Arabidopsis thaliana: one gene and its partner. The protein of the gene in region 2 purifies or fractionates together with the protein of the main gene of each other region. This does not show direct contact. Each region holds a gene or a part of one and is shown on either strand. Other genes may lie near its edges.

Region 1 (4,560 bases), on a different chromosome or scaffold from region 2:
ACGATTGTGCAGTTGGAAATATTAAAACCAAAAAAAAAAAATAGAAAGGCGGGAAAGAGAGTTAGTTACATCGTCTTCTCCGGCGAGACAAGACGACTGCGATTGGATTTCTCTGAAGCGCAGGTATATAAGTGATAGATCACCATTGATACTCTTCAAGAAGATCCCATTCAATTCAAGCTTTATCGAGTAAGATCTTTATTTTATTCCATGGAAACCGATTTGAGATTTACACGAATGATCCAAATACGTCTCATATCATGCGATTTCAAGACGAAAATGGCGTAGTTTTATTCAATCGAAGGCAATTTTGAAGATATCAAAAAGATCGATGCTTCAATTGCTTGATCTCTAACGTGTCAGTTTCTTTCTTTTTGTTCAGCGACGATCCTTCTTCAGTGGCCATGGTTTCTGGAGATACAAAATCGGATGCGAACAACGTTACTTATGGGTTCGTGAACTTTTGTATTTCCCAAAGCCAATTTTGTGGAAATGAGAGAGATCGATCGATGCTTAAAGCTCTGCTTCAACTAATAATGTCAATTTCTTTCTCTTTTTTTCAGAGACCTTCCTTCTTCTCCAGCGGCTACGGATTCTTCAGAACCTTCTTCCTATGCGTTAGTGAATTTTATTGTATTCTTTAGAACCAATCTTTTAGAATTGATCTTTGCTTTTCTGGTTATGTTTTGATTGATTTGTTATCTCATTTTCAGTGAACAGCTTGAAAGGCTCATGATGATAGATTCAGAAGAAGACCGGGGTCCCTCTGGGTTTGTGACCTTCTCGATTCTTTAACCACCAATCTTTGTTTTCTCTGGTCTATCTATGTTTTGATATTACTCTTTTTTTGTTGGTTTTGTTTCAGGTTTACGACTGATGAATTGATCTTTCAGGCTTTAGAAACAGTCTACGAGAATCATAATGGTCTTGATGTCGATGCGATTTTCACTTTTATCAAGGTTAGGAGGATCTCTCTGTCTCTATAAGTATCTGTGTTTCATGGTCATATCTCATGAGTAGTGTATATTGGTTCTGAAATGTGAGTCAATAGCGGGATTACACAATGGAACATTAGGATCTGAAAATTTGACTTCATGTTCCATCCCCTAAAAGTCTTCCTTTTAAAGTCTTGGTTTTGTTGATTCCTCCGTTGTTCTTGATCAACTAACCATCATGTTCTTGTGGTTAATATAAATTGCAGGAAAGGAACGAGTTACAGGAAGATTTTAGGGAGCGGTTGGAAAACCAGCTGAGATATCTAGTTTCTGAAGGCCAAGTATACAAGGTAACTAGTTTTTCAGAGTTGCCTCACACTAATGTTAAGATTCAGTAGTTTTGTTTGATCAGTTCAGAAAAACGGAAAAAAAAACTTGTAAATGCAGGTAGGAAACCTCTACAAGATCCCCCGTGGTGTATTTGATACTCCAGTTGTGTCAGTAGGAGATTCAAATCAAAGAGAAACCATGGATCCAGAAGATTCCACGGGCACAAAGGCACAAGACACACCAAGTACTTGTGCTTCTTTCGCACCACCAACAACAGAAGTAGATCCTCGGATAATCGCATTAGCAAAAGAAGTCGCAGAGGCAGAACACTTGGAGTTGGAAGCAAAAGAGGCATACGAACTTGCAGATAAACACGCCCAGTTGCTAAAATTAGAAAGCAACATAACCTTGCAGTTAGCCGTAGAAATCCTTAATCGATGTAAGTAATGTCCACCTCTTAACCTTTTATCATCATCATCATCACTGACTTTTTCATTTGATTTGGTCCTTGCAGGTGCTAACGGTGAAAAGATTTTCCTGCTGTAAAAGCTTTGACCTTCTGGTCCGGTTCAAGGTGGATATATTCGATCACCGGTTTCTTTTTAGTGTTTTTGGTTTTGAGTAAAAAAAAGAGTGTAGATATGAAATGTGATTTCATTTGACTAACTAGTCATAGTTTGTTACTTTGTGGTTAAATGATTTTGGTTGTGAAGGCAACAGACTATTCTGTTAGTTTTTGTTAATACAAGTTTTTACAGATAATGCCAATCTTAAGAATTGAATAGGTTTTTCTAATACATAACATAAGAAAGAAAAAAAGAAAGTGTGTCATGGTGTCTTTAGCAAGTATTTTTAACGGTCGAGATTAATTTCAAATACTGATCAAGAAAGAAAAAAATTAGTTATGAGAATTACAATTTTATAATGGGCCTCATTGTAAGCCCATTATAAGCTTACATAGGACTTTTATGAGTTTTTGTTCTCAGTCTGTCCCTTTAATTGTTTTTTGGCTCTTCTATCGCCCATCGCTTGGGAGATTAAAGTCTGAACTTTTTGATCTCAAGCTTCTCCATCTCTCCCTCAACTCAAGCTCCTGGTTCGGAACTATTTACTTTCCTATGCGATTGGTTGTTTATAAGTTGATTTCAGAGTTCGGATTCTTGTACTCATTAGATGTCCATATAGGTCTTGTTTACTGGTTTAATTGGGGTTTTATCAAGGAAATAAAGAGTGTTTAGGGTTTGAATTTCCGTGTTTGCAGATGGCGAGCAATATCATCTTGTTCGAGGATATCTTCGTGGTCGATCAGTTAGACCCTGATGGCAAAAAGTTCGATAAAGGTATACACTTTATTAGCCTCACTCACGATTTCTAGTACTTCTCATGGCTTACATCGACGTTTGTTCATAGCTGTTTAGTTCATGTATGTATTGTGAATGAGTTCTTCCGTTTATCCTTTTTTGGTCTGAGTGTGTGGGTTTTGTGGAAAAATTTAACTTTTTAAGTTTTTAGTCTCCCCCAAGTTTTGTTCTGTCTTCAGATTGAGTGGCTTTCTCTTAAACCTACAATGATTTTTGTTGTGTTTGTGGTTACAGTTACTCGCGTTCAAGCTACGAGCCACAACTTGGAAATGTTTATGCATTTAGATGTTAATACAGAGGTTTATCCATTGGCTGTTGGTGATAAGTTCACACTTGCGTTGGCTCCTACGCTGAATCTCGATGGAACCCCTGATACCGGTTATTTTACTCCGGTAATAAACTCTACTGCTTTTTATTTAGTTGTTTTGTTTTGAGTATATACACAGTCTCTTGTTTGCTTGGCCAAATTTCCATGAATGGTAACTTTGAACCCGTATCTGGATTTTGTTAGGATATAACTGTTAATGCTGCTAAATGGTTGATATTATAACTCTGTTGGCTGATTCGAGAAGCCTGTCTATCTAGGAATAAGAGGAGACATGGAATTTTAACAAGCTTTAGTTCTTGAATCTTCAAGATCTAAATTTGAAAACCAAGAATGTGTATGCATATCTAAACATTAATCTTATCTAGTTTTCATCTCGATACATTACAGGGAGCAAAGAAAACACTTGCCGATAAGTATGAATACATAATGCACGGGAAGCTTTACAAGATCTCTGAGCGTGACGGCAAAACTCCAAAAGCGTAAGAATCCCATATAACCCCCCCATATCAAAATAATTCAATCCAATTCAACTCACATATCAAACCATCATGTTTTATTTTATTTTCTTTAAATTATGTGTTTCCAGAGAGCTATATGTTTCGTTTGGCGGCCTCCTGATGTTGCTTAAGGGAGATCCAGCTCACATTTCTCACTTCGAACTCGACCAGAGGCTCTTCCTACTCATGAGGAAGCTGTGAGGTGCCATTTTTTCGGATAAAAACTGAATTAATAGAGAGCTTGATCTAATGTTTAACTTTTACTACTTCAACTCTTGCAATTTTCATGAAGCAACTCTTGTGCAAAAGCAAGTTTTTCCGTTCCGTTTTAAATCCCATTCCACAAATTGACTGCTCCGGTCCGGTGAAATGTACTATTTGTAGCTCTAAGCTATTGATGAAGATAAGCAATTGAGACCAAGAACATAACAAAAAACACAGACAAAGACACAGTTTTTTTTTTGGTCAAGGACACAGTTTTGTTTCTTCTCTAACCAATTTTCACTACACTCTTATCTTCTAACAACAATATGAAGCAATAAAGCTCGAAAAATAGATTCTGAGCCAAAAATAGAGTGTTTTCTCTAATCCATGCTTGTGTTTTCTCTAGTCCATGTTTGTGTTCTTGCTTCTTTGAGACTGGGAGAATATATCTTGGACGGTCGAGATTAGTCTTAAAAATTCTGAACAGATCAAGATTTAATTTTAAATCTGTATAGTGGGCCATGTTTAGGCCCAATAAAAGCTTTTGATGAGGCCTTCTAAATGGTATATATTTCGACTTGAAGAGAAAGAAAAAACAACTAGAAAATCGGAAGAATAAATGGACGGTGGAAGAAGGAAGCCCTTCTCGCCGGACTAGCCAAGCACGGTTCCGGAAAATGGACAAGTATTTTAGACGATCCAGAGTTCGCGGCTCAACTTCTAGATCGCACAAACATTAACCTCAAGGTAATCGAAAATTCCCAAAATCCCATTCGTCTTCCATGGAAATCGATTTTTGAGATTTATTATGTGGAATTAGGTCGAAATTTGGGTATTAATGTTGTATTGTTTATTCTTATTGCCCAAATTTCAAGGATAAATGGCGTAATATAAAGAAATCAAGG
Region 2 (4,417 bases):
AAGAAATCATAAATCCAATATATATAATATCAGAGAAACAGGGCAGATAAACGAATATGATCTAGATTCTTTTAAAAGATAGATTCAAGAAAAACCTTTTAGGATTTGGGAAAGAAAATACTTTCTCTGATTTAGTTAATGTAATATATATGTTTCCCTTCTTATATAATTTGACTTATCTACTTCTTTTTTTTTGGTATGTCGACATCAAGAAAATTTAATTACTAATTTGAAATTACACATTAGTAAAGCTGAAATGTGAATCAAATTACCTTAACCGTCGAAAATTTATGAATTTTGATTTCTGATTTCTGAAAAACTAGAAACCCTAAATCCAAATAACTAAGTTGTGATAAATTATAGGAAATAAATTTAATTCTTTAAAACAATCAAATTTCATCTATATTTATTATTTATTGTTGAAACTAAGAAACTAGCGGAGATTTGTAAAATATTTATTGAAAAAATGTTAATTCTTATTTTTTTTCAATGTAAATTCTTATTTTGAGTTAGTTAGTTTTTTTTTTTGCCAAATACAAAACACTTAGTAAATTCAAAGATAAGAATCTTATGTAAAGAAACAGTAAAAAAGAGATTAGAAGAAATCATGACCTTCCATCTTTCTCTTTTTTTATGACATGTGTTAATCAATTGATGAGATTTTGATACATGTAAAGAACTTCTTCTAATTAGATTTTGATCTATGCTAACATAAAAATGAAAAATACAATTTTTTGACAAAAAAAGTAAAACGTTTATATTAAAGTATATAGTTAAAAAGGATACACTTCAATGAAAATAAGAAAATTACATAAAAAAGGGAAAACCTTATTAAAAAGGGGAAAAGGTTATTAAGTAAAACTTTGTTTCTTAAAATGAGTAATTAACATAATCACATTAGCCGTTTCTTTAGGTGTCGAAGATGTTGTATGGAGGAAGAGACAACAGAGCATTTATTTTTCAACTGTACCTATGCGAAAGCTGTTTGGCGAGGCTCTGGAATATCAAACAGGTTACTCTATGACCCACGGACCCCATGGGAAGAAAAGTTGAGAGAGATCCTCAAGTGTAACACGGGGACAAGAACGCCACATCTTAAGCACTTACCTCTTTGGATCTTGTGGAGACTATGGATATCACGAAACAACCTCACCTTTCAACAAAGGAACTTTTCATGGCGAAAGGTAATACGACAAGCTCGAAGTGATGCAAAGGAATGGCATGATCAAGATGAAAGAAGTTTGGGAATGACGAACCCTCCGCAATTTCAGAACGTTGGTTTTCAAGGCGAATATCATTGGATGAAGCCGAATACAAACTGGATCAAATGCAACTATGATGGTAGCTTTATCAACGGACAACCGGCTAGTGCAGGATAGGTGATTAGAGACGACAGAGGCACCTTTAGAGGTGCAGGTCAAGCTAAAGGAAGACATGTAAACACAGCTATGGAAAGCGAATTTCAGGCACTAATTCTTGCAATGCAAAGCTGTTGGATTAAGGGATATACAAGAGTATGTTTTGAAGGCGATAACAAAACAGTGGTGGAACTGCTTCATGGTCGGCAACACAATTTCAATATTTTTAATTGGATTAGGGAAGCACGCATTTGGAGAGACAAGTTTAATGACTGCCAGTTTACTTGGGTTCGAAGAGATCACAACAAAGCGGCGGATATCTTAGCGAAACATAGAATACCATCTGATGCTTTGTCGCATTTTTACAACCTCATTCCTAATGTAATCACAAACGCATTATACCGGGATTTTAATCCCTATTTAATATGAGAAGCATGTTTGAGTAAAAAAAAAACATAATCACAACACGTGACAGACGACCAGATTTCAATGGAGATATTTTTTTAATCTAATTAGATTAAATAATTAAAAGGAAATATATATTAATTTGTATTTTTCTATCAATTTAGAGAAGAAAAAGTATATTTTCGAATATGATTAAAAAGTTTAATCTAATTTTAAATATTTGAGAATCAAATTTTCAAAGTTTTTAAATATATGAAATTAGTAATCTTAAAATGAAAAATTAATTAGTTTCTGAAAATATATTTAAAAGAAAATAGAGAAAAAGTGAATACTAATGGGCCAATAATAATATAGTCTCAGTAATAATGGGTCTTTTCAGCCCATCGACATGTAAACAAACCAAAATTGAAAGTCTCCGAGTGTTACTTCTCAGTCGATAGAGAGTTTGAAACAACAAAACAAACTCTCGCTTCTCGCATCGTTGATTCTCCAAAACCAGTTTTCACTCTCTATTGCCGATTCTCGTTTCGTTTGATATCTTAGGAATCTATAAACAAAGGCATGGGTTCAGTATTCTGTTGATTTTCTCAATCAATTTCTCAGCTATTTTCAGTCTTAAGGTCTTGGTCCATGGGTTGCTCGAGAAAATGTGGAAAAAGTGATGGTCTGAGTACTTAATCGTAAAATGCAAATACAAAGCTTTTGTGGGTTTATTAAAGTTGGTAACTTTTGATAGAATTTTGAGGACTCTTACTTGTTTACTTACATGCCTGCGTAGTGTTTGTTTAAATGCCTGTGAGAAATACTTTTTAGTGAAAAGCTCTTTTTTTTTTTTTGTTTAGTGTTCGTTTTAGTAGATATGTAATGTGAAACTAATTTCTGAATCTCTGTTTTGAGTACTGTAGAGTTATGAAATTGGTATTTTGCTAATGCATGTCTACATTGTGTCCAGATTCTTATAAAAACAGAAACTTTGATCTTATCTTATGGATGAATTACTTTAGGTTACTGATGATGATTTGTATAACCTAGATGTTCGTTTCAGAGAAAAACCTGGAAATTACTGTCTACTTCCTTTTCCTTTCTCTGTGATCTTTCAGTTTTGATTTTTTCCAGAGTCTTTCTCATATCTTTCCTTTGAGAAGAATGTGATGATAGTAAAGTATTTCTATTCTCTGGATCAATGATGATAGCTATGTGACATTGCTTTGATTTGGTTTTGAAGGTTGAACAATGTTTCTCAAAGTCCAATTACCATGGAACGTGATGATTCCAGCTGAAAACATGGATGCCAAAGGGCTGATGTTGAAGAGAGCTATACTAGTAGAGTTACTAGAGGCGTTTGCTTCCAAGAAAGCAACCAAGGAGCTTGGCTACTACGTGGCAGTCACAACTTTGGACAAGATTGGAGAAGGCAAAATCAGGGAGCACACCGGTGAAGTTTTGTTCCCGGTAATGTTCAGCGGAATGACTTTCAAGATCTTCAAAGGAGAGATAATTCACGGTGTGGTGCACAAGGTGTTGAAGCACGGTGTCTTCATGAGGTGTGGTCCAATCGAGAATGTTTACCTCTCCTACACGAAGATGCCGGATTACAAGTATATCCCTGGAGAGAACCCGATCTTCATGAATGAGAAGACGTCTAGGATTCAGGTTGAGACTACAGTGAGGGTTGTTGTGATTGGGATAAAGTGGATGGAAGTAGAGAGGGAGTTTCAGGCGTTGGCTAGCTTGGAAGGTGACTATCTTGGACCATTATCTGAAGAGTGATCTGCTTGATCTCTTCATGTGATGGCGTTTTTGGGCAATCTCTTATGTCTATATAACTCGGCTTTAGTTCATGTTTGGTAGTAACTAGTAACTACTCTCTAGCTGTGCAAATAATGAAAACATTGATCTTTGAATGTAATGAAATCCTTCACCTTCAAGAGGAAAGATTGGTCTAATTTAGGTTTTTTGTATTGGTAATGATTTTTGCTTGCTTGTGAGTCTCTTCCATATGATAAGCTCAGATTGGAATTAGACTCTGAAATCGTAGTCAAACCGGATATATAAGAAATATTTCAAACCAAAGTTAACCGAACCAATCTCAGAGCACGATTATGGATTAATCATCACTCATCACCATCGAGAAATCTCTAGTTTCAACAGGTCTCCAGATTTCGAAGCGGCGTATGAGTTTTTTTTTGCCAGTGACTGTTTCTGCGCCGATTGAAGCGGTGCCGCTTTGAATATTGCTACTTTTGCTCGCTATGTCAATTCAAAGTCTAACAGCCCAACCCAATAATCGTTGAGTTTGGGAAGACGAAAGAAAGCCCACGAGAATCACATGAGAATGTGATTGCTTGGCAGGTCTAAAACCCTAAATAAAAAATTTTCAATGTTTGGATTTGTGGATGACACAGGATTGGTTAATACTCGTTCTTGGCCCGACTCTCCTTTCCTTCGGTAATCGAATAGTAATATTTATTTAGTTAATATCTTTAGCTAATAGCCAACAATTTTATTTCGATAAAAAGAAGTATCTGAAAAACACTTTGATAACAATTAGATAGTAATTGCATGTATTTTATCAAACTATTTTTGGTCCACGTCATCAAGAAAAACATGCCAAGTTGCAAGAACATGCCCACGAAAGCTTTATATATTTTTAT

Evidence for each region.
Region 1: the proteins of NRPE7 (region 2) and NRPB8A fractionate together in Arabidopsis thaliana (co-fractionation; one large-scale study listed by BioGRID). This does not show direct contact.

What each region holds. Positions count from the first base shown.
Region 1 is NC_003070.9:20,252,684-20,257,243, forward strand, and holds NRPB8A (RNA polymerase Rpb8), read left to right. Parts: upstream 1-2,254; 5' UTR 2,255-2,361; intron 2,362-2,526; coding exon 2,527-2,605; intron 2,606-2,860; coding exon 2,861-3,018; intron 3,019-3,341; coding exon 3,342-3,433; intron 3,434-3,540; coding exon 3,541-3,652; 3' UTR 3,653-4,005; downstream 4,006-4,560. Other genes in the region: AT1G54240 (winged-helix DNA-binding transcription factor family protein), read left to right, coding at 405-451, 564-617, 714-770, 866-959, 1,202-1,285, 1,383-1,704, 1,780-1,811.
Region 2 is NC_003075.7:8,405,616-8,410,032, reverse strand, and holds NRPE7 (RNA polymerase Rpb7-like, N-terminal domain-containing protein), read left to right. Parts: upstream 1-2,141; 5' UTR 2,142-2,322; exon of another isoform or gene 2,323-2,481; intron 2,482-2,988; 5' UTR 2,989-2,996; coding exon 2,997-3,533; 3' UTR 3,534-3,786; downstream 3,787-4,417. UniProt on the Arabidopsis thaliana protein: DNA-dependent RNA polymerase catalyzes the transcription of DNA into RNA using the four ribonucleoside triphosphates as substrates.